Linked DNA regions of Notamacropus eugenii. The protein of the gene in region 1 purifies or fractionates together with the protein of each later gene. This does not show direct contact. Links are inferred from orthologs where the notes say so. Each region holds a gene or a part of one and is shown on either strand. Other genes may lie near its edges.

What was found.
Region 2: the proteins of OTUD1 (region 1) and AIFM1 purify together in Homo sapiens (affinity purification with mass spectrometry; 3 studies listed by BioGRID, with this or other methods). This does not show direct contact. The link is inferred for Notamacropus eugenii from reciprocal best matches to the Homo sapiens genes OTUD1 and AIFM1.

Annotation. Positions count from the first base shown.
Region 1 is NC_092874.1:64,222,271-64,233,131, reverse strand, and holds OTUD1 (OTU domain-containing protein 1), read right to left. Parts: upstream 4,977-10,861; 5' UTR 3,994-4,976; coding exon 2,764-3,993; 3' UTR 1,563-2,763; downstream 1-1,562. UniProt on the Homo sapiens protein: Deubiquitinating enzyme that specifically hydrolyzes 'Lys-63'-linked polyubiquitin to monoubiquitin.
Region 2 is NC_092879.1:51,897,189-51,907,922, reverse strand, and holds the start of AIFM1 (apoptosis-inducing factor 1, mitochondrial), read left to right. Parts: upstream 1-6,230; 5' UTR 6,231-6,443; coding exon 6,444-6,537; intron 6,538-10,734. UniProt on the Homo sapiens protein: Functions both as NADH oxidoreductase and as regulator of apoptosis.

The DNA of each region.
Region 1 (10,861 bases):
GCTGTGTGGTTACTTAACTAGGAACACATACCCAGGAACACATACCCTTCTGGCAGGACTTAAGCTCTTTAAGGACAGGGACTGTAAATGACTAAGATTCAAATCAGGTAAGTTAATCAAATCAGATAACTTAATCAAATCAGATAACTAATCCATCTGGTGTGCTAGTATACTATAACAAAACATTTTGGCCTTGGGGAGTCCCATTACTTGGCTTTAAATCCTGCTTTAACACAGGGCATGAATAAGACACATAGCAGTTCTAAGGCTTAATTCCCTCATCTGAAAAATGGTCATGTAATTAATTTATAGAATTCTGAGTCTCAAAGGAGCTAATCTTCACTTTAAAAATACAAAATTCGACAAACGTCAGCTATGACATTAGAAAAAAATAAACTTTGCTAAGATTCAAGTTAGCATGAGGTAGAAATAGGAATATCAATATTAGACTAAGATTCCTCATACCCTACGTAGAATTTAACAGGAAATAATCTGGGGGAATAAGACACAAATGGAGCTTTCAATATCCCCTTGATTTACTGCAAAAGACACTACACTCATCCTTTTTCCTCCCAAATTACCCAATTATGCTTGATCTACTTCTTGGGCCAAAAAGCCAAAGACCTAATACAACCAAAATGACACATTAATCTTTATTTGACAGTAACATAATTCCTGATTTATGAAGGAATTTACTCAAACTCCAGTCTATAACTATGTACACACTGCAAAAACAAGTGAAAAAATATTAATTGCTGTGTCAAAACAGCTAGGTTGATTCCTTTTAAAAGGGATGAGTGGCTGGGGGGTAGAAGATATGAGGAAAAACTAATAACCAGTTGCTTCTGCAAAGCTTATTTTTGCTTATGTGTAGGTCAACCACGAATGAAACATTTCTAATAAAAGGTATTGATTATGAAAACCTGGAATGAATTAAAACCAGAAATTCCTTTAACTATAATTTTATAAAGTTAAAAATCTACACTCAAAAACCAAACCATTACACCAATTTACTCAAACTTATATACTTCCTCCACTGTTTTAGAATGCCAAAGAGGAATTAATGTTCTTATCTAGAATCTGCTAGATAAAAATATTTATATGTAAATAATGGAAGCAATTTCTTACTCTACTTGTAAATTATTTCCTTCCAAAACTTTTTTAATGACTTAATAGTTGCCCAATCCAGGTTACTATTAAAGAATTCAGTATTATTACATCATCTAAGAAAAATGTGACTTGTGAAAGGGAAATGAATCCACTCACAGAAATCATTTTAGAGAGGAGGCAGGCCCAGCCAGAGTAGTGGATCACAACTCAAGTCTCAGAATCTGGCAGACTTGAATTAAAAGTCCCTTCTCTAACAACATACAAAGGCTGTGTCCTATGATGTGGGCAAGTAACTTAACCTCGGTGCCCTTGAACAACTAACACCAAGCCTATAAATTGCAGAGCAGCTGTGAATTGCATTGGAAGACATTTCTTCAAAGAAAATTCTTATACCAATGAAATCACACATCAGTCCAAAAGAAAAAAAATAACTTCAAAATTTGCTACTAGGAGACAATATTAAAAGTATGCATTTATTCATTCCATTAGCTGAGAATAGTCCTATCATACAAATACAGTAAAAAGTCAAAAAAATCACAAAATATTACAAAATAAAAAAGTACAAACTGCATTACTTAATAAATATGACTAAAAGTAGTTAAAATTGGAAACGAGATAGCTTTTAAGTTGGAAACGTTTGACCCAGCAAACCATACAAGCTCTTTTCAGATAGCTTTACATAATACCGGACAATTCCATTTTTACCCTTGAAAGTATTTCAAAGGAACAAAGTACAAAGATAATATTCTCCTGCCACAATTTAACTGCTGTCAGGGGCATTTATACTGTTCATTTTAAAATCCCCAAGCTGAATCAGACACTTATTACAAAAGCAGAAGACTATTATCTTGTTACCACATTTTCTCCTATGTTAAAATCCTATTGTAACAAATGAAAAATAAATAAAACTGAGAGCACCAGACAATCAGAGGCCACTTTACACAGTAACCAAAGTACAGAATCACTATACCAATGAACATGGGAACTCAGTCAGTCAGAACAAACTTGTTCTGCCCTTTAGACAAAAATGTTTTTCCTCTACCTCATTTCCTTCCCCCCCATTTTTTTTTAAAGCTTTTCCTTTTCCTAAATAATCCAACGGTTTCCAATCAAGAAACTCTTCTCCTCGAGATGGAATGGATCAATTATCTGGTAACACCAATGACATCAATTTCATTTGAAAGAATAAATGTAAAGTTCAAATCCCATACAGCATAAAAGAACACAAACTCTGTACAAAATAAGCTTTATACAAAGTACTTCTCTGGGTCTCTGCCCAAAAGCCATTTGCCAAAATGAGACGTCATAAATGGAGGTACACCAATCTTAAAAAATATTGTGCAAAAATACATTTTTATAGAAAATAGATTACCAGGAATAAACAAATATACACTATGAGAAAATCAGCTTGCAAATAAAGTGGTGCTAACTTTATACAACAAATTATAAATAGCATTAAGACTACTCAAGGCTATCTATCATAAAACATCATTCAGGTGCGCTGCAACCTTCAGCTCTGGAAAAAAACCTGTCCCAACAAAGTGATTAAGGCCTCACACCTACAGTAACTCTAGTAAGTTTAGAAAGTGCTGTAACCCTGATCGGAGCCCGTGTCGATCCAAACGCCCGGGCGGGCGGCGCTCCGGCGGCCCCTCAGGAGCAGGCGTTCTGCTCGATGTACATTTTGGACAGGGAGATGGCCATGGAGCGGGCCAGCTCCTCGTCCCGCTTCCGCTGCACCTGGGTCTGCTTGCACCAGCTGTCGTACTCCGGGTTGGGGTACGAGTGGTCGAACACGGCGTCGTAGTGGCCGTTGCTGAGCCAGCTGAGCCAGATGCTAGGCCGGAGCGAGTCCTCGGGGCCCAGGTAGTGGATCATGGTGGACACCGTGGGGCTCTCCAGCCGGCCGCCCGTGGTGAGGTGGATGTTCACGTTGAGCATCTGCCCCATGGCCAGCAGCTCGGGGTAGCCGGCCCAGGCGCCGTCCTGCGCCGCGGCGATGATGAACTCGCCCACGTCGCCCTCGATCAGCGGCCCGAAGTGGTCCAGGTGGTCGGCGATGTAGTGCACGGTCTGCTCGCGCAGCTCGCGGTGCTGGCTCTGGTCGCCCGACACCGCCTTGCTCACGGCCCGGTACAGGCAGTTGCCGTCGGGGATGATGTGGAAGCGGTACTTGCTCCTCTGCCGCAGGTACTTGTCCTGCCGCTCCACCTCGGCCAGGTACAGGGCCAACTTCTCGTCCTTGGGGCCGGCGGCGCCGGGCGAGGGCGCGCGGCGGCCGGGGGGCTCGGGGGCCGCCTCGGCGCGGGCCCGGGGCGCGGGCGCGGCCGCCTCCCAGCGCCGGGGGCTGCCGTCGCGGGGCCTGGCGGCGGCCAGGGCCTGCTGGTGCTCGCTCAGACGGAAGTTTCGCTCGGGCCCGTCCGGCCGCGGGCCGGGCTCGGGGCCCGGCTTGAGCAGCTCCTCCAGCAGCCAGGCGGACGAGGAGCAGCGGCGCGGGGGCTCGGGCGGCCGGCGCTCGGGGCCCAGGCAGCGCACGCTCATCTGCGCCGTGCTGGTGTAGTGGGGTGGCGGCGGCGGGGGCGGCGGGGGCAGCGGCGGCTTGCACGAGCCTCCCGCCGCGGCGCCAGCAGGGGCGGCGGCGCCCGGAGGCACCATCTCGAAGCACGAGGAGAAGGCGGGCATCCCGGCGGCGGCGGCGGCCTCTCGGGACTCGGCTGCCGGAGGGGTGGCGGGTAGGCAGTCACCGCCGGCGGCCTCGGCGGCGGCGTCCGGAGCCTGCAAGGAGACCTTGAAGGGGGCGGCGGCCGCGGAGGGCGGGGAGGGGGCGGCGGCGGCGGGTCCCCCCGAGGGGTAGTGGCTGAAGCCCGGGCTGTAGAGCTGCATGGCCGCGCCGCGGCCGCTCCGGCCCCTTATAGGCGCGGCGAGCCCCCGGCGGGGGGACACGCCCTCCGGGCTCCAGGGGGCCGCGGCCCAGGCGGGTGAGCCACCGCCGCTAGAATAGAAATGACCCAACCACCATCCCGGGCCGGCCGCCCGCCGCTCGTCAGCGGCCGCAAATAGCGCCCGGGCCGGGCCCGCCAATTCCTGCTGCGCCACGGGGCGGGGGGCGGGGGCGCGCGGGTCACGGGGGCTGCGGCTGCAGCAGCGACGGCTGCGCCTCTCCCTTCCCCTCTACGCGCCCGGCCGCCGCTCCAGGAGGCAGAGGACTCCCGGGACAAGCCGCCCGCCCCGCTGGAGTGAGTCCCGGAGGCCGGGGAGAGAGAGTGTGTAGCAGGGACCGGGGAGGCGGGCGCCCCGCCCCCTCCCTCCGCCCAGAGCTTGTTTACCTCAGGCCGCGAGGCCTGGTCACGTGGGCACGCTGGAATGTGCGGATCGTTGCCGCGTCTCATTCACCCGCCCCGGAGGTCGCCCCGCCCACCGCCTCCTCCCGGATCCCGGCGCTCAGCGCGCGTCAGCTGAGCCTGTTCCCACTCCTCCCTTCCCCCGCCCCTCCCCTTCTCCCGCCGGGGGTGTGAGCGTTTGAGTCGGCCTGGTTCTTAATGGACTCTCGGGTCCCGGGATGCCAGGCGGCCACCCACGTGACTTCTGCTGGGCCTCCCCTCCCCCACCGCGGCTCCTTCCTGGGCTCCCGAGGACCCTCGGAAAGAGCTTCGCGTGTCAGAAAGCGCCGGCACGGCTGGCCGCTACGATGATTAGGAAAGCCATTCTGAATTATTATGAAAGCTTCCGCCATTTTTAAGTGATCCAATGTTAACTACATTTTTACGAAAGCCTTCCGTTATTTTTAAATTTTAGGTTACTAAATTTTGTTATTAAGCTATTTAATTTCATTAAGTGAAAAAGTTTATTTCCTGTTAAATTATCGTTAAAGACTTCCTTTATTCTAAGTTAGCAAAGGCTTCCGTTATTTGTCAATTTCAGGTATTATTCAGAGCCCCTTCCAGTCTTTCAGTGACTGTGCCCCCCCCATTTCTTTGGCTTTCCCTGTTCGCCCCATTTTTGATGAATTGTGGTCAGCCAGCATCCAATGCCCTGATGGGGCCGGATCCAGCATCGCAGGGTTCTGGTTCTGGTCCTGGTGCTGGCGCTGGCCTTGGGCAGACCCGTGGTCCCTTAGGCTGGCGAGGTCGGCCTTCCTCCCACTGACAGTCAGGCTCTAGATCTGTGATCTAGAACAGCCGCGGGGGGGGGGGGTAGACCCAGGACCCCCTTGGCACCATGTTCTCAGTCACGGACCTCCGGGGATTGTGTTGTATGAAGAGAGCTGGCAGGAACTGGCATTCGTGGCTTCGGGCATCCTCTGCCCGCGAGGCTCCCCAGTCCTGGCCCGCATCCGGCCCCTGGAGGAGAAGGTGGGCCGCTGACCCTGCCCACCCCTTCCTCACCCAGATCCAAGTCCCGGCAGCTCCCCGGTGCCCTCTCGGAAAGCAAAGGACCAGCCACGTAACACACACACTCCTTGGCACTCGGTGCTGGGCCCGGCGCGCAGCAGGCACTGAATGAAGGCTTACTGACGGGTTAACGAAGATGCACCAGACATCTGAGGCTCTTCCTTGGGGCGCAGGGGTGGGTTTAACCGGTCCTCTGTCACAAGTCAGAGCTTCCGTGTCCTCATCTGTCAAATGGGGCAGCTGGATGGCTCAGTAGGGAGAATGCTAGGCGTGGAGTCAGGAAGACCTGAGTGCAGCTATGTGACCCTGGACAAGTCACTTATTCCTGGTCACCTTCATTGGCTGGAAAAAGAAATGACAAACCTGCTGCATTGATCTTTGCCAAAAGTAAAAAAACAACAAACCATGGACAGTCTGATCCGCAGGGTCAGGAAGAGTTAGACACAGCTGACCAGCCAAAGGACGAAGTGAGACCATCCTCTAAGCTTCCTTACCTGTTTCAATCTGTGATCCATACACTGCAGCCCTAACCTCAGCCAACAGAATTGTCTCTTTCACTATCATTTTTGATAAAGGAAGATAAATTGCTTTGTTAAATTCCAGGTACCTTATACCACTCAATTCAACTCAAAAATATTAAGCTTCCTATAGCTAGACGCTGAGCAAAATGTGTCCATTCAATACTTCTGAAGATGTATCTGCTGTTCAGATCCCACCTCCCTATTTAAGGATTATTTTTATGCCCCCATGCTGGATTTAAAGTCCTTCACCGTTTGGTTCCAGCCTTCCTGCTCCTTGCCGCCGTGCATTCACATTTCAGCCAAGCTGGCCCACTTGGCTGTTTTCCAACCCAGTACTTTGTTTCTTGCCTGTGTCTCTTTTCTCAGTCTCACCTAAATCGTCGGACTCCAAATTCGTATAAATGTGAACTGTAGATATAGTAGTAACTCTATATTATAGTAGGTGCTCCATTGGTATATTCCTTGAATAGATTGAATAGGATAGGAAACCTTAACTTGGCCACAATCCGCAGAGAAGACACCAAGTTAAAAGGTCTTCATGCATAAATTATGGGTTTTAAGCTGAAAACAAATACATTGGACTCCTACTGTAGCACTTGGATTGTTTTGGGAAATTAAGACCAACTGTTTTAATAATCTATCAGTTTGCAAAATTTTCTCATGGTATCTATATGGTGGTATATGCACTCTTAAAAAAATATGTAGAGAATCTACTTAAGATTCCTTCCACATCAACAGTGAAAACAGCTTTATTAAATACCCTCCATTGTGTGGTGGTGTCAATGGCCTAGAAAGGCTTAGAATGCCTTCTACTGCAGCCTTTCAGCAGCTGCATTCCAAAGCAGATAACCTGCAAGAAGTCAGGCCATCTCCACATAATGCTGGCTAAGAAAGGAAGAGACAAAAGCAATCAATCCCCTGCCCGCAAAGAGGGCACATTCTTAATTTTTAATTATTATTTATTTGTTTTCAGTTTTCAATATCACATAAGTTTTGACTTTAAACTTTCTTCCCCTCCTTCTCCAAGACATCATGCCATCTTCTATGGGTTCTACACATACATTCTTATTAAACACATTTTCGTATTAGTCATGTTGGATAGAAAAATTAAAACGAATGGGAAAAACTATGAGAAAAACCAAACCAAAACAAAACACAAGAGAAAATAGTCTGCTTCATTCTGCATTCCAATTCCATAGTTCTTTCTCTGGATGTTGATGACATTTTGCATCAAAAGTCCTTTGGGAATGTTTTAGGTCCTTGAATTGTTGTGGAGGGCTAAGTCTATCAGAAATAGTCCTTGAATACTACTGTGATGGTGACTGTGTATAATGTTCTTCTGGTTCTGCTCATTTCACTCAGCATCAGTTCATATAAATCTTCCCAGGTTTTTCTGAAGTTCACCCGTTCATCATTTCTTATAGCACAATGGTATTCCATTATATTCATATACCACAAATTGTTCAGCCATTCCCCAACTGATAGGCATCCCCCCGATTTTCAGTTCTTGGCCATTACAAAAAGCTGCTAAAAATATTTTTGTACATGTGGGTCCTTTTCCCATTTATGATCTCTTTGGGATACAGCCATAGAAGCAATATTGCTGGTTCAAAGGGTATGCACATTTTTATAGCCCTTTGGGCATAGTAAGAAGGGTGCATTCTAATGGCAAAGACAAAATAAAAATAACTAGATACAAACCAAAAATATACAGAACACACAGAAGGTAATCAGACAGGAGAAGACATTAGCAGCTGAAAGAACTGAGACAGGCTTACAGAAGTTGGGGATGAAGCCAAGCCTTGATGGAAGGAAAAGGACTCAAGTGGTGGACATGAGGAGGAACTGCATTCCAGGCATAGGGAACAGTGGGTACGAAGGCACAGCCACAGTAGATATCAAGTCATAAAAAGAACAGTAGCCTGGCTGGACTGTGGAGTGTGAGAGAAGAAGCATTTCTATGGTACCTGCTATGTGCCAGGCCCTGTGCTAAGCACTTTACAGAAATGATCTCATTTAATCTCCCAACAGCCCTTTGAGGTAGGTGGTATTATCCCCATTTTACATTGGGGGAAGCTGAGGCAAACAAAGGTTAAGTGACTTGCCCAGAGTCACACAGCTAGTAAATATCTGAGGCCAGATTTGAATTGTGCTACCAGCTGCCTGTGTAAGGTATAGGGTATTAGGTATAAGAAAGATGGGAACATAAGAAAAGGACTAGTTGTGAAGAACTTTAAATGCTGGACTTATTTGATCCTGTAGTCAATAGGGAACCACTTTGGAGGGTCAGGGGTGACTTGGTCAAACTTCTGCTTTAGAAAAATCTATTCAGCTATTGTGCTATCAGAAATGACCAGCAGGATGTTTGTAGAAAAACCTCTGAAGACTTGTATAAATTGATGCAGAGTGAGGGGAGCAGAACCAGAACACTGTACACAGTTAACCATGATCAGCTGTGGAAGACTTAGCTACTGTGATCAAAACAATGGTCCAAGATAATTCCAAAGGACCTGTGATGAAACACACTATCCACCTCCAGAAAAAGAACTGATGAACTCTGAGTGCAGATTGAAATATACATTGTTCATTTTATTTTTTTTGTTTTTTTTTTTAACAACATGGCTAATGTGGAAATGTTTTTCATGACTTCATGCATGTAATGGTTGATGCTGTATGACTTGTATTGCTTGAATTCTCAATAGGTAGAGGAATGAATGTTAAAAATAAATAATCTTTAAAAAGAAAAGGAAAATCCAACCAACATTTATTAAGCACCTACATGCGAGGCTAATCTTGAGTTATGAAGACAAAAATGAACCAGTCCCTGCCCTCAGAGAGCTCATATTCCAGAGAAGGAATTATTAAATCTGATTTAATCCTATTAAAGCAAATTTGTGTAAAATGTTATTAACCACTTAGTAATGTGCATCAACATTATCTGTGAAGAATTACTAGGTTGCCAAGAAATAGATAAAATCTCAAGTTAAGGCAAAAGCACAGGATATACATTAAGGGTATGTGCCCCATTTTCTCCATTTCACTCCCCTAGAGCATTGATGGTAAATTTGTGAACTATGTCAAGTCAACAAACATTTATTAAGTCCCTCTCTATGTGTTAGGTACTGAACTAAGTGCTAAGGATACAAAGAACAGCAAAAACTATCCTTGTTCTCTAGGAACTCAGAGTCTACTGTGGGTACCTGGTACCTGGCACATACATGAGGATGTGTAACAGAAACAATTTGGAGAGGCTTTCAAGCATTCATAGACATGATTCGAGGAAGCCTTGCTTTTGATTGAGTCAATTGAAAAATGTTCTTACCTAACAACGATAATTACTCTTAAGTTGAATGTGTGTTCATCCCTCGTTGCCAAAGAAGACCATGTCATCAAAGAAATAATGACATGACTTGCACTTGACTTTGTTTTGAGTGAGGGAGGGCTGTGCAGGTCACCAGCCTCACTTCTCCTCCAGAGCCATCTAAATCCAGTGACCAGATATTCATCAGGATGACTGGAGATGACCCAGGATGAGGCAATTGGAGTTAAGTGATTTGCCCAAGGTCACACAGCTAGTGAGTATCCAATGTCTGAGGTGAGATTTGAACTCACGTCCTCCTGACTCCTGCACTGGTGTTCTATCCACTGCACCACCTAGCTGCCCCTAAGTTGAATGAGATAATTAATGGAACCTCACCCGTACATGAAAATATTAACCCATGGCAGCTGAGACCCATAGCTGAGTCTTGGGAGCTGGGGGGATAGGGAGCAGGTGGTGAGAATCATAGATTTAGGGCTGTAAAGGATCTTAAAGGTATGTAGTCTAACCCCCTCAAACAAATGTAGAAACTGAGGCCCAGAAAAATTAAGTGACTTGCCTAAGGTTATATGATCAGCAAGTAAAATGGCCAAAATTTTTACCAGGTCCTTTGACTTCAAATCTTGTGAATATTCCATGATGTCTGACATTCCTTCTCTTAAGACACCCCCTTAGATATTCTGGGGGCCCCCTCTTTTAGAACTTCTCTCCTCTCTTTTGATTCTTTTATGGCTCACTGTTAGAGAAGCTTATCATGCCCTTCTTGGGACACACTGGAGCACACAATATACAATGACTGAGGTATGGGTATGTATATGACCGCCCAGTTGACCAGCATTTATTAATAGCACCTACTTTGTGCCAAGCACTGTGTTAAGTGCTTTATGAATTGGGAAGTAGGTGTTATTATTATCCCCATTTTACAGATGAGGAAACTGAGGCAGGCAGAGGCTAAATGACTTACCAAGGGTCAAACTCTGGTGTCACAAAGCTAATAAGTGTCTTAGGAGGGATTTGAACTCAAGTTTTGCTGACTCCGGGTCCTTCTCCATCCACTATATCCAACCTAGCTACCAGATATTCCACTATGTGCATGAGGATTCAAGGAATAGTCAAAAAAAAAGTCTGCTCTCAAGGAGGTGTGTTCTGAAGTCTAACGAGAGACTACATGCAAACAATTATACAGATAGGTATATAGAGTACAAACTGGGAGTAGTCTCAAAGGAAAGGCAATAAGATTAAAAAAGGCTGGAAAAGGATTCTGGTAGAAAATATATGCATACATATGTAGAATACATATGTTTGTATATGGTGGGTGTATGTGTGTGTATATATATATATATATGTATATACATATTCTACATTCGCGTGTATCATACATATATATCCAAAAACATAAGCATGTATATATTAGAATTAATTATGTAAGATTATTGTTTAGTTAATTTTTGAAGAATCAGTTTGTACTAGATGCCTTCATCCTCTGATCTCCAGTATATTTGGTAACATTGCCCAAATGG
Region 2 (10,734 bases), on another chromosome or scaffold:
GATAAAGGTCAAAGGATGGAGCAGAATATATTGTGCTTCAGCTCATGTAAGAAAGGCAGGAGTAGCAATCCTAATCTCAGACAAAGCAAAAGCAGAAATAGATCTAATCAAAAGGGATAAGGATGGAAACTATATCCTACTAAAAGGCACCATAGACAATGAAGCAATATCATTACTAAACATGTATGCTCCAAGTGGTATAGCATCCAGATTCTTAGAGGAGAGGTTGGGGGAGTTGAAGGAAGAAATTGATAGCAAAACTATACTAGTGGGGGACCTCAACCTCCCCCTCTCTGAACTAGATAAATCCAACCTTAAAATAAACAAGAAAGAGGTTAAGGAGGTAAATAAAACTCTGGATAAGGTAGATATGATAGATCTTTGGAGAAAATTAAATGGGAATAGAAAGGAATATACCTTTTTCTCAGCGGTACATGGAACATTTACAAAAATTGACCATGTACTAGGACATAAAAATCTCACAATCCAGTGCAGAAAGGTAGAGATAATCAATGCATCCTTTTCAGATCATAATGCATTAAAAATTACATGTAATAAAAGGCCATGGAAAGAGAAACCAAAAATCAATTGGAAACTAAATAATCTAATTCTAAAGAAGGATTGGGTTAAAGAAGAAATCATAGAAACAATCAACAACTTCATTCAAGAGAATGACAACAGTGAGACAACGTACCAAAACTTATGGGACACTGCAAAAGCAGTTATTAGGGGAAGTTTTATATCTCTGAATGCTTACATAAATAAAATAGAGAAAGAGGAGATCAATGACTTAGGCTTGCAGTTGAAAAAGCTAGAAAAAGAACAAATTGAAAATCCCCAAGTAAATACCAAATTAGAAATACTGAAAACCAAAGGAGAGATTAATAAAATTGAAATAAAGAAAACTATTGAATTAATAAATAAAACCAATAGTTGGTTTTATGAAAAAACTAATAAAATTGATAAACCTTTGGTTAATCTGATCAAAAAAAAGAAAGAAGAAAACCAAATTACTAACATTAAAAATGAAAGGGGTGAACTCACCTCCAATGAGGAGGAAATTAAAACAATAATTAGAAACTACTTTGCCCAACTTTATGCCCACAAATTCGACAATCTAAACGAGATGGATGAATATTTTAAAAAATACAAATTGCCCAGATTAACAGAAGAGGAAGTTGAATACTTAAACAACCCCATCTCAGAAAAAGAAATTGAACAAGCCATCAATGAACTCCCTAGGAAAAAATCTCCAGGGCCAGATGGATTCACAAGTGAATTCTATCAAACATTTAAAGAACAGTTAATTCCAATACTACATACACTATTCTTGAAAATTGGGGAAGAAGGAGTCCTCCCAAATTCTTTCTATGATACAAATATGGTTTTGATACCCAAACCAGGAAGAGACAAAACAGAGAAAGAAAATTATAGACCAATTTCCCTAATGAATATAGATGCAAAAATTTTAAATAAGATTTTAGCAAAACGAATACAGCATCTTATCACGAGATTAATACATTATGATCAGGTAGGATTCATACCAGGACTACAGGGCTGGTTCAATATTAGGAAAACTATTAGCATTATCGATCACATCAACAACAAAGCTAACAAAAACCACATGATTATCTCAATAGATGCAGAAAAAGCTTTTGACAAAATACAACATCCATTCCTACTAAAAACATTGGAGAACGTAGGAATAAAGGGAACTTTCCATAAAATAATAAGCAGTATCTATCTAAAACCTTCAGCAAGCATTATATGCAATGGGGATAAGCTAGATGCATTCCCAATAAGATCAGGGGTGAAACAAGGTTGTCCATTATCACCACTATTATTCAATATGGTACTAGAAATGTTAGCTGTAGCAATTAGACAAGATAAAGATATTCAAGGAATTAGAATAGCCAAAGAAGAAACTAAGTTATCACTCTTTGCAGATGATATGATGATTTACCTAGAGAATCCCAGAGATTCAAGTAAAAAATTACTTGAATTAATAAACAACTTTGGCAAAGTTGCAGGGTACAAAATAAACCCACACAAATCCTCTGCATTCCTATATATTAGCAACAAAGTTCAACAGCAAGAGATAGAAAGAGAAATCCCATTTAAAGTTAGGGTAGACAGTATAAAATACTTAGGAGTCTACCTGCCAAAACAAACCCAGGGACTATATGAACACAATTACAAGACACTTTTTGCACAAATAAAGTCAGATTTAAGTAAGTGGAAAAAGATTAGTTGCTCATGGGTAGGCCGTGCTAATATAATAAAAATGACAATTCTACCCAAATTAATATACTTATTTAGTGCCATACCAATTAAACTATCAGACAATTACTTTCTAGAGCTGGATAAAATAATATCAAAATTCATTTGGAAAAACAAAAGGTCCAGAATATCAAAGGGACTAATGAAAAGAAATGCTTGGGAAGGTGGCCTAGCACTACCAGACCTTAAACTGTACTATAAAGCAGCAATTATCAAAACCACTTGGTATTGGCTAAGAAACAGAGAGGTAGACAAGTGGAATAGACTTGGCACTGAAGATGCAGTAGGCAAGGAATATAGCAACCTTCTGTTTGATAAACCCAAGGACCCCAGCTTCTGGGATAAGAACTCATTGTTTGACAAAAATTGCTGGGAAAACTGGATAACAGTGTGGCGGAAATTAGGCATAGACCCATACCTGACACCGTACACAAGAATAAAGTCCAAATGGGTACATGATTTAGGTATAAAGATTGATACCATGAATAAACTGGAGAAGCAAGGAATAGTGTATTTATCAGATCTATGGAGAAGGGAAGAATTCTTTACTAAAGGAGAGATAGAATGCATTATGAAATGCAAAATGGATAACTTTGAGTACATTAAACTGAGAAGTTTTTGCACAACCAAACCCAATGCAACCAAAATCCGGAGGGATGTAGTAAATTGGGAAAAAATTTTTACAGCTAAGCTCGGGGATAAAGGCCTCATTTCTAGAATATATAGAGAACTGACCCAAATGTATAATCATACAAGTCATTCCCCAATTGATAAATGGTCAAAGGATATGAACAGGCAATTTTCAGAGGAAGAAATTAAAGCTATCTATAATCATATGAAAAAATGCTCTAAATCACTATTGGTTAGAGAGATGCAAATCAAAACAACTCTGAGGTACCACATCACACCTATAAGATTGGCAAACATGACAGAACAAGAAAATGATAAATGCTGGAGAGGATGTGGGAGAGTTGGAACACTAATTCATTGTTGGTGGAGCTGCGAGCGCATCCAACCATTCTGGAGAGCAATTTGGAACTATGCCCAAAGGGCTACAAAAATGTGCATACCCTTTGACCCAGCAATATCGCTACTAGGACTGTATCCCCAAGAGATCATAAAAATGGGAAAGGGTCCCACATGTACAAAAATATGTATAGCAGCACTCTATGTAGTTGCCAAAAACTGGAAGTCAAGGGGATGTCCATCAATTGGGGAATGGCTGAATAAATTATGGTATATGAATGTAATGGAGTACTATTGTGCCATAAGAAATGATGAACAAGAAGACTTCAGAGAGGCCTGGAAGGACTTATATGACCTGATGCTGAGTGAAAGGAGCAGAACCAGGAGAACTTTATGCACAGCAACAACCACAGTGTGTGAGAGTTTTTTCTGGTAGACTTAGATTTTTGTAATAACACAAGAACTCCTGAAAAAAAAAAAAATCCCAATGGTGGACCTCAAGGCAAAATGCCTTCCACACTCAGAGAGAGAAATATGGAAGTCACTCACATAATGTAGCAGATCATGTTTGTGTATGTGTATCTGTCTGTGTATCATGTTCTGATTTGTTATACGGATTCTCTCATTTATCTTAGTCTGACTACATAGCATGACTATAGTGAAAATATACTCAATAGGAAAGTATATGTAGAATCTATACAGAATTGTATGCAGTCGTGGGGAGGGAGGGAGTTAGTGGGGGGTGGGTGGGGAGGGATAAAATCGCAATTGTATGGCAGTGATTGTTAAACATTAAAAAAATAAAAAAATTATAAAAAAAAAAAAAAGAAAAAAGGAATGGTATTTTAATAGGCAAATAACATTTTAGTAGGGGCAGCTAGGTGGTGCAGTGGATAGAGCACCAGTGTAGGAGTCAGGAGGATCTGAGTTCAAATCTCACCTCAGACACTTGACACTCACTAGCTATGTGACCTTGGGCAAGTCACTTAATCCCAATTGCCTCATCCTGGGTCATCTCTAGTCATCCTGATGAATATCTGGTCACTGAATTTAGATGGCTCTGAAGTGAGGAGAAGGGAGGCTGGTGACGTGCACAGCCCTCCCTCACTTAAAACAAAGTCAAGAGCAAGTCATGTCATTATTTTTCTGATGGCATGGTCTTCTTCCACAACGAAGGATGAACACACACACACAAGATTTTAGTATTTATTATGAAAATGGTTTTGATCTCAAGGACCATCTGAAAGGGTTTAGGGGACCACCAGGGGTTGGTGGACCACATTCTGAAAACCACTCATCTAGTTAATTTGCATGGGTTGGGAAAAAACCCCAACATTTCTCAAATCCATATCATGTAAAAATAAGCAGTGTCTACTCTCCAATAACACAGAGGTATACCAATCATCTGTGATCCCTTGGGTCTCACAGTGTCAAGGTGATTATTCTCAGTAAAAAAGTACATGTCACAAATATATAGAAGTCAGTGCAGAATACTTTGTATAGCAGTCTCTAGGGTTAGGGTACATTGCCTATGAACTAACCCCATGGATACAACCTGTCTGGTAGGATAAACCTTCACAGATAAAGTCTGTGACTATGGAGCAGAGGAAAGAAAGCTACCTGACCAAAAGATAGAATCCATAATTTTGTTGAAAGATATTCTAGCATTATCCATTCAAGAAACTAAGCACATACCTACTATGTACGAGGGACCAGAAGGCATTGTAGCGTGATTTACTTTGATACTGGCTCTATAGTCAGAGAACCTACTTCAAATTCAGTCTTTAATGTTTTAGTACCTATGTCACCTTGGCCATCATCCGTGGGCCTGTGTCCTACTCTATAAAATATAAGAGTTGGACTAGAATCTAGTACTTGGGTACAACCGTTTGAGTGAGTCCAAGTTTTACAAAACAAAGCCTTTTACTAAGGGGATTTGTTCTGTGAAGTTTGGATTCAGCCAAAGGGCTGCAGTTGAAGACCTGGAAGGCCAGCTGTGGCCTTGAGGCCACAGATTCCCCACCCCTGGACTAGATGGTGTCTAAGGATCTTTCCAACTTTAGACTGAAGTAAAGAATACAAAGATAAAATGCATGGTCCATGTCCTTAGGATGTTAAAAATCTAATTGTGGAGACATGAAGTCCATTCCTAAAATGTTTAAATAGTGAAACTTACTTGTAATATTTGTAATTTTCTTTATTTTCTGTGGAGCTCCAAAGACCAGTTTCCCAATTTTGCTTATATTTCAAGTGCCTGAAATATTAATTTCCGCTCAGTCCCTCTCATTCTACAGTTCTGAAAATACAGCCAAGGGAAGTCAACTTATCGATGTGCTGGTGCTCTCAACTCCATTGGCGGCCCCAATGCCAGGAGAGGGTGGGAGCATAGGATCATAGAGTCAGGGACCTTGAAGTAATCATAGCGGCCAACCTCATTTGACCTAGAGGGAAACTGAGGTTCAGAGAAGGCAAGGGACTTGCACAAGGTAGTAATAGAGCCAGTAACAGGCACAGCAGGATGACACCTTCATTAAAGGAAAACCCTAAGTTCTGGAAGAGGGAAAAGGCCGGAGGGCCAGAGGTCCAACATGCCAAGGTCACCAAAGGCCTCGGGAGCCCAGGAGGGCTCTGACCTGTGAAGAAGCCAGTCAGAGTTGTTACCATAGAGCCTGGGTGTCCACTGGCGGAACCAGGCGGGCCCCCGGATCTGTCAAGTCCCGCCACCGCCGCTGCAACTGAACCGGGCAACTGAACTGGAGTGAACAGCCGTACTAAGAAGGAGGAACTGGTAGTCCCAAACTAAAGAAATAGGTACCGAACTATGCCCTGAGAACGCCACCCTAGAACATTACCGCCCCGGGCCAGAGTACTGAAACGTGCACATGCGCGAGGTGGCTCCGCTTCCTCAGCCAATGGTTGCACAGCACTAGGAACAACGCAGCTCTCATTCCCTTTCACTATCCAGTGGCCAATTGGAGGGCAGCGTCTGCGCAGGCGGTTCCATCGGTCCAATGAGAATGCGTCTCTAGGGAGACCCCGCCTGCGAGGTGGGCTGGGATGGAATAGAGTGGCACTTGGAGGCGGACTGTGGTTAACGGGTCAGTAGCTGGGTGAGAAAGCCGAAAAGGGGAGGCGGCGGGTCGGCCGCAGTCGCAGTTGGTCCGGGACTTCCCGTCGTCGTTGTCGTTGTCGTAGTCATGTTACGATGTGGAAGCACCGCCGTGGCTGGGTTGGCGCCTTTGGTACGGACTTTCAGCGTCCGTGGCCCGAAGCAGAGGAGCCGGCTTCCAGGTAAGTTAGTTCCCTGACGCTCCCGTTGCAGTTCTCTACCCCTCCTCTCCCCCCACCCGTCGGACCCTGACCGTGATCCCAGGGAACCCCCTGCACGGCCCGCGTCTCTCCCCCCCTTCCCCCCCCCCCCCCCCCCGCAGGCAAACCCCTTCCGCACGCTCACTCGCGCCTTTTTTGGGAGCGCTCCAAACTCTTGAGGCAGGACTCGCCGGCCTGACCTTCAGAGGCATCACCTTCCACCCCCATCCCCCTAGCTGACAGGCTGCTGGCTAGAATCCCTGCAGCCCAGCCCCTGCAGTCCGGGGTGGCCTTCTGGCTAACACCCCCTCCCAACCCTATGCCTTTCCTTCCCGGGGCTCCAAGCGGGCTTCTGGGGACCCACGTGTGCTAAGTACTACTTAAACCAGCTAGGCCCCGGGGGGAGACTGGAAGATGAATCAGAAAAAAGTTCTAGCTCTAGCCCTTGGAGAGTCTGTCAAGTAGGGGAGATCAGTAAGACTCGACCCCAGAGAATGGATAATAGAGGGCAGAAAGCAGGAAGCTCCAGGACAAAAAAAAAGTGGCGCAAAAAAAGTACTGAGACTTTAAAAGAGAGAGGAATGTTTTCTGATCGGGTGGGAGCTGAGAATACTAAATGGAAGGAGGTGGCATTTTACCTGATTCCCGAAGAGAAGGAATAAAATTTCAACTAGGTAACAGGAAGGGAATTTCAGAAATATTGGACTGTGAAAGTTTGGAAGTCTAATGGAAAAAACCCTGGAACTCTGCCATTTATTATAGATGTGACTTAAGCCATTTAATAATAGTCTTTTCCTCAGTTTCTTCATCTGTAACAGACATATCATCTACTTTACCTATCTTAAAGTCGAGAACATAGATGTGAAAACACTTTCACAATTCAAAAGTCCTGTCTGTGTCAAGTATCATTGAAACAACTGTAAATATAAATCATGAAATAAATACCACAAGAGCTGGGAGGGCAGGCCAAAAGTGAATTGAAAAATAGGGTCTGGTGTGACTTTGTGGTTATCTTTAATGCCAATTTTAGAGTTGTTTTTTAACCAATGCATAAGGTGCCTTCTCAGTATTAGAAAGTAAATAATGTGGTTCAATGGTCTGTTCAGCCTAATATTCTTCTCTGATGCTGGGAAAGTAGGATATTTGCCCTTCATGAAGTTGACCTCAAAAAGTTAACAGTGGTGTCCTATCAGAAGCAGTAGCCTGAGATTTTAAAGACCTAGGTTCTACTCCTGGTTCTGCTACTGATACTAGCTGTGTAACCTTAGGTAAATCATTCTGGGCCTCAGTTTAATCTTTTGGAAAATAAAAGATTTATATTAAATCTATTAAAAGTCCCTTCCAACTCAGAATGCTATAATCAAACACCCCTAAATTCCTGCCTTACTAGTCCATCATGCATATGCCATCCATGAATTTATCAGAACATTTCATGAATTTTACTTACACACACACATACACCCCATGACCTCTTGTGTACCCTGTGACCTCTTCTGGTAGTAAGTTACCAGTTTTTAGGAGATACAATTAATCTTTCTTTTAGAGGTCTTCTTCAGTTCTTGCTAATATCAATAGTGACATGAAAATGTTTGCCTAAGTTTTTGCACCATTTTCCTGGAGCCATTGACTCAAGAGTGCTTCTTGAATGAAGTTTTAGTATCTTGAGTGATCTTACACTTCGAATCTTAACACCTCTGTTGTCAGGAACTTTAAAAACATTGTTTTTTAGGGCAGTTAGGTGGTACAGTGGATAGAACACTAGCTTGGAGTCAGGAGGACAGGAGTTCAAATTTGGTCTCTGACACTCATGTTTATTAACTGTGTGACTGTGACCGAGGGCAAGTCACTTAACCCTGACTTCAGGTGCGGCAATAAAAAAGGATTGTTTTTTGACAGATATCCTGGTTTCCAGACATCTCTGTTGTCTGCACGCCAAAATTATGGTACTATCCATAGGCAAGTTACACAACATTCTTAGACGGAATGTATAACCTTTTTGCCCTTTCGTAACTTTGACCTCCAACTTAAAACATCATTGCTTTGGTCTGTGGAATTGAACATTTCATGGGAAAATGCCTTCTTAATACATACTTATTGCTTATGCTATTATCTTCACTTACTTAGATTTGAAAGCATTTAGTGATGTTAGTGCTGAAAGGAATTGGCTAGTTTTATTTTGCCTTCATTAGTAACTTGTTCAGAGATGGGCTGCTGTATTACTACTTCTGGTTTCTTGACTATTTGCTCCTTCTTCGTAGATTTATATAATTCATAGAATCTCAGAGGTGGAATTGATCTCCAACACCATATAATTTAACTCATACCTAAGAAGACTCCCCTCTAAAACATACCCCATAAATGGCCATCCAACCTTTAAGCCCTCTAGTGAAAGAGAACTTTCCAAGGCAGTTCATCTCACATTTGGACATACCTCTGATAGGAAACTTTTCTTTACATCAAAAAGGAGTCTGCCTCTTTGTAAATAAGTCTGACCCAGCTTTTCACATGGCAGCCTCTCTAATAAATACTTGAAGACAATTCTTCTCCCACCCCAGTCATCTTTTCTCCAAGCTAAACAGCTCCTTCAACTGATCCTTACTTAATAGCATAATCCTCAAGTAGCATGGCCTTTCTTGGTTACCTTCCTCTGCATGAGCTTGAGCTTCTCTGTGACCTTCCTGAAGTGTGGAGCTCCAAACTGAACACAATACTCCAAATCTCCTCCCTCCCTCTGTACACTCTTCTCTGCATTTGGCCTAAGATAGATCTCATTTGTTTTGGGAGTTACTTCACTCTATGGATTCATATTGATTGACCTTGCTGGTGTGCTGAAGCCCCCAGAATCTTTTGTCTACTGTCTTGTATTTTGCGCTTGATTTTTAAAAAACAAATGTAGCGTTAATTTATCCCCATTAGATTTCACTCATCCTTACAGCCTATTAAAATCTTTTTGGATCCTGACTTTTTTTTAAAGATTTCTCCCAAGTTTTTTTTTTAATCATTTGCAAATTGGATGAGCCTGTTCTCTTTCCAAAATTTCATAAAACAAACCATTGATGTAAAAGTTCTTTGGTCTCCAAAAGACACTATAGTAGACCATTATTACAAACACTCTTGTCCCCAAGTAAACTCTTTCACCGTAATGTTTTTCTTAATTTCTATTATTACCAATAATTCACATTTTGGTGTTGCTTTAATATTTACAGAGAGCTTTTCTCAGAGGAACCCTGTGAGGTTAGTATAAATGTTCCCATTTTACAGAGGAGGAAACCAAGCCTTTTTCTACTGATAAGACACTAGAGTATGTAAACACTGAATCTCATTGTTGGGAAGGGACTTTAAAAGGCAGTCTCTTCCAAGGTCTACATGAATAGGAATTCCTTCTACAGAGTTTCTAGTAGATCTTATAGCTTCCACTTGGAGACTTCCAGCGAGAGAGAATGCCTGACTTTGCAAGATAGCCAGTTCCACTTTTGGACAGCTTGAAATGTTGGGAAAGTTTTCTCTACATCAAGGAGATTTTGCCTCTCTCCAACATTGTTCCTAATTTTGTCTCTAGGGCCAAACAAAAAAAATCTTAGCCTTCATTCAAATGAAACACTTGAAGGCAGCAGTCCTGTTCCTTATCCTGCTCAGGTAGTAAATTTTACTGCATATTTTTGGTGAGAGACTTGCTTTTTCCATAGAGTAGTCTTTTTCCTTGATCAACATTGGGCTAAGATTCAAAACACAGACTGTCCTTTCGCCTTGCTTTTAGACCTTGGGTGAACCTGGCCTCTGTTGTTACTTGAAATGATTATAATCATAACTGATATTTTAATAGTGCTCTTTACCATTTTTCTCATGGTTTCTCCCATTCATTTTAATTCTTCCATGCAACATGACTAATGTGAAAATGTGTTTAATAAGAATGTATGTGTAGAACCCATTTAAGATTGCATGCCTTCTCGGGGAGGGAGGGGGGCAAAAAATCTAAGACTTATGGAAGTGATTGTACAAAACTGAAAACAAATAAATGTTTTTAAAAATAGTGTTCTTTCCCTCTTACTAACATTAGGTCGATTTAAGGTATATTAATGCTAAAGCAAGTCTTGCCCCGAACATCACAGTGTTGATTACTTAGCAAGGTTGTGAGCTTCAAATGAGATGTGCAGTGCATCCATTTCTTGCTAGACAGGT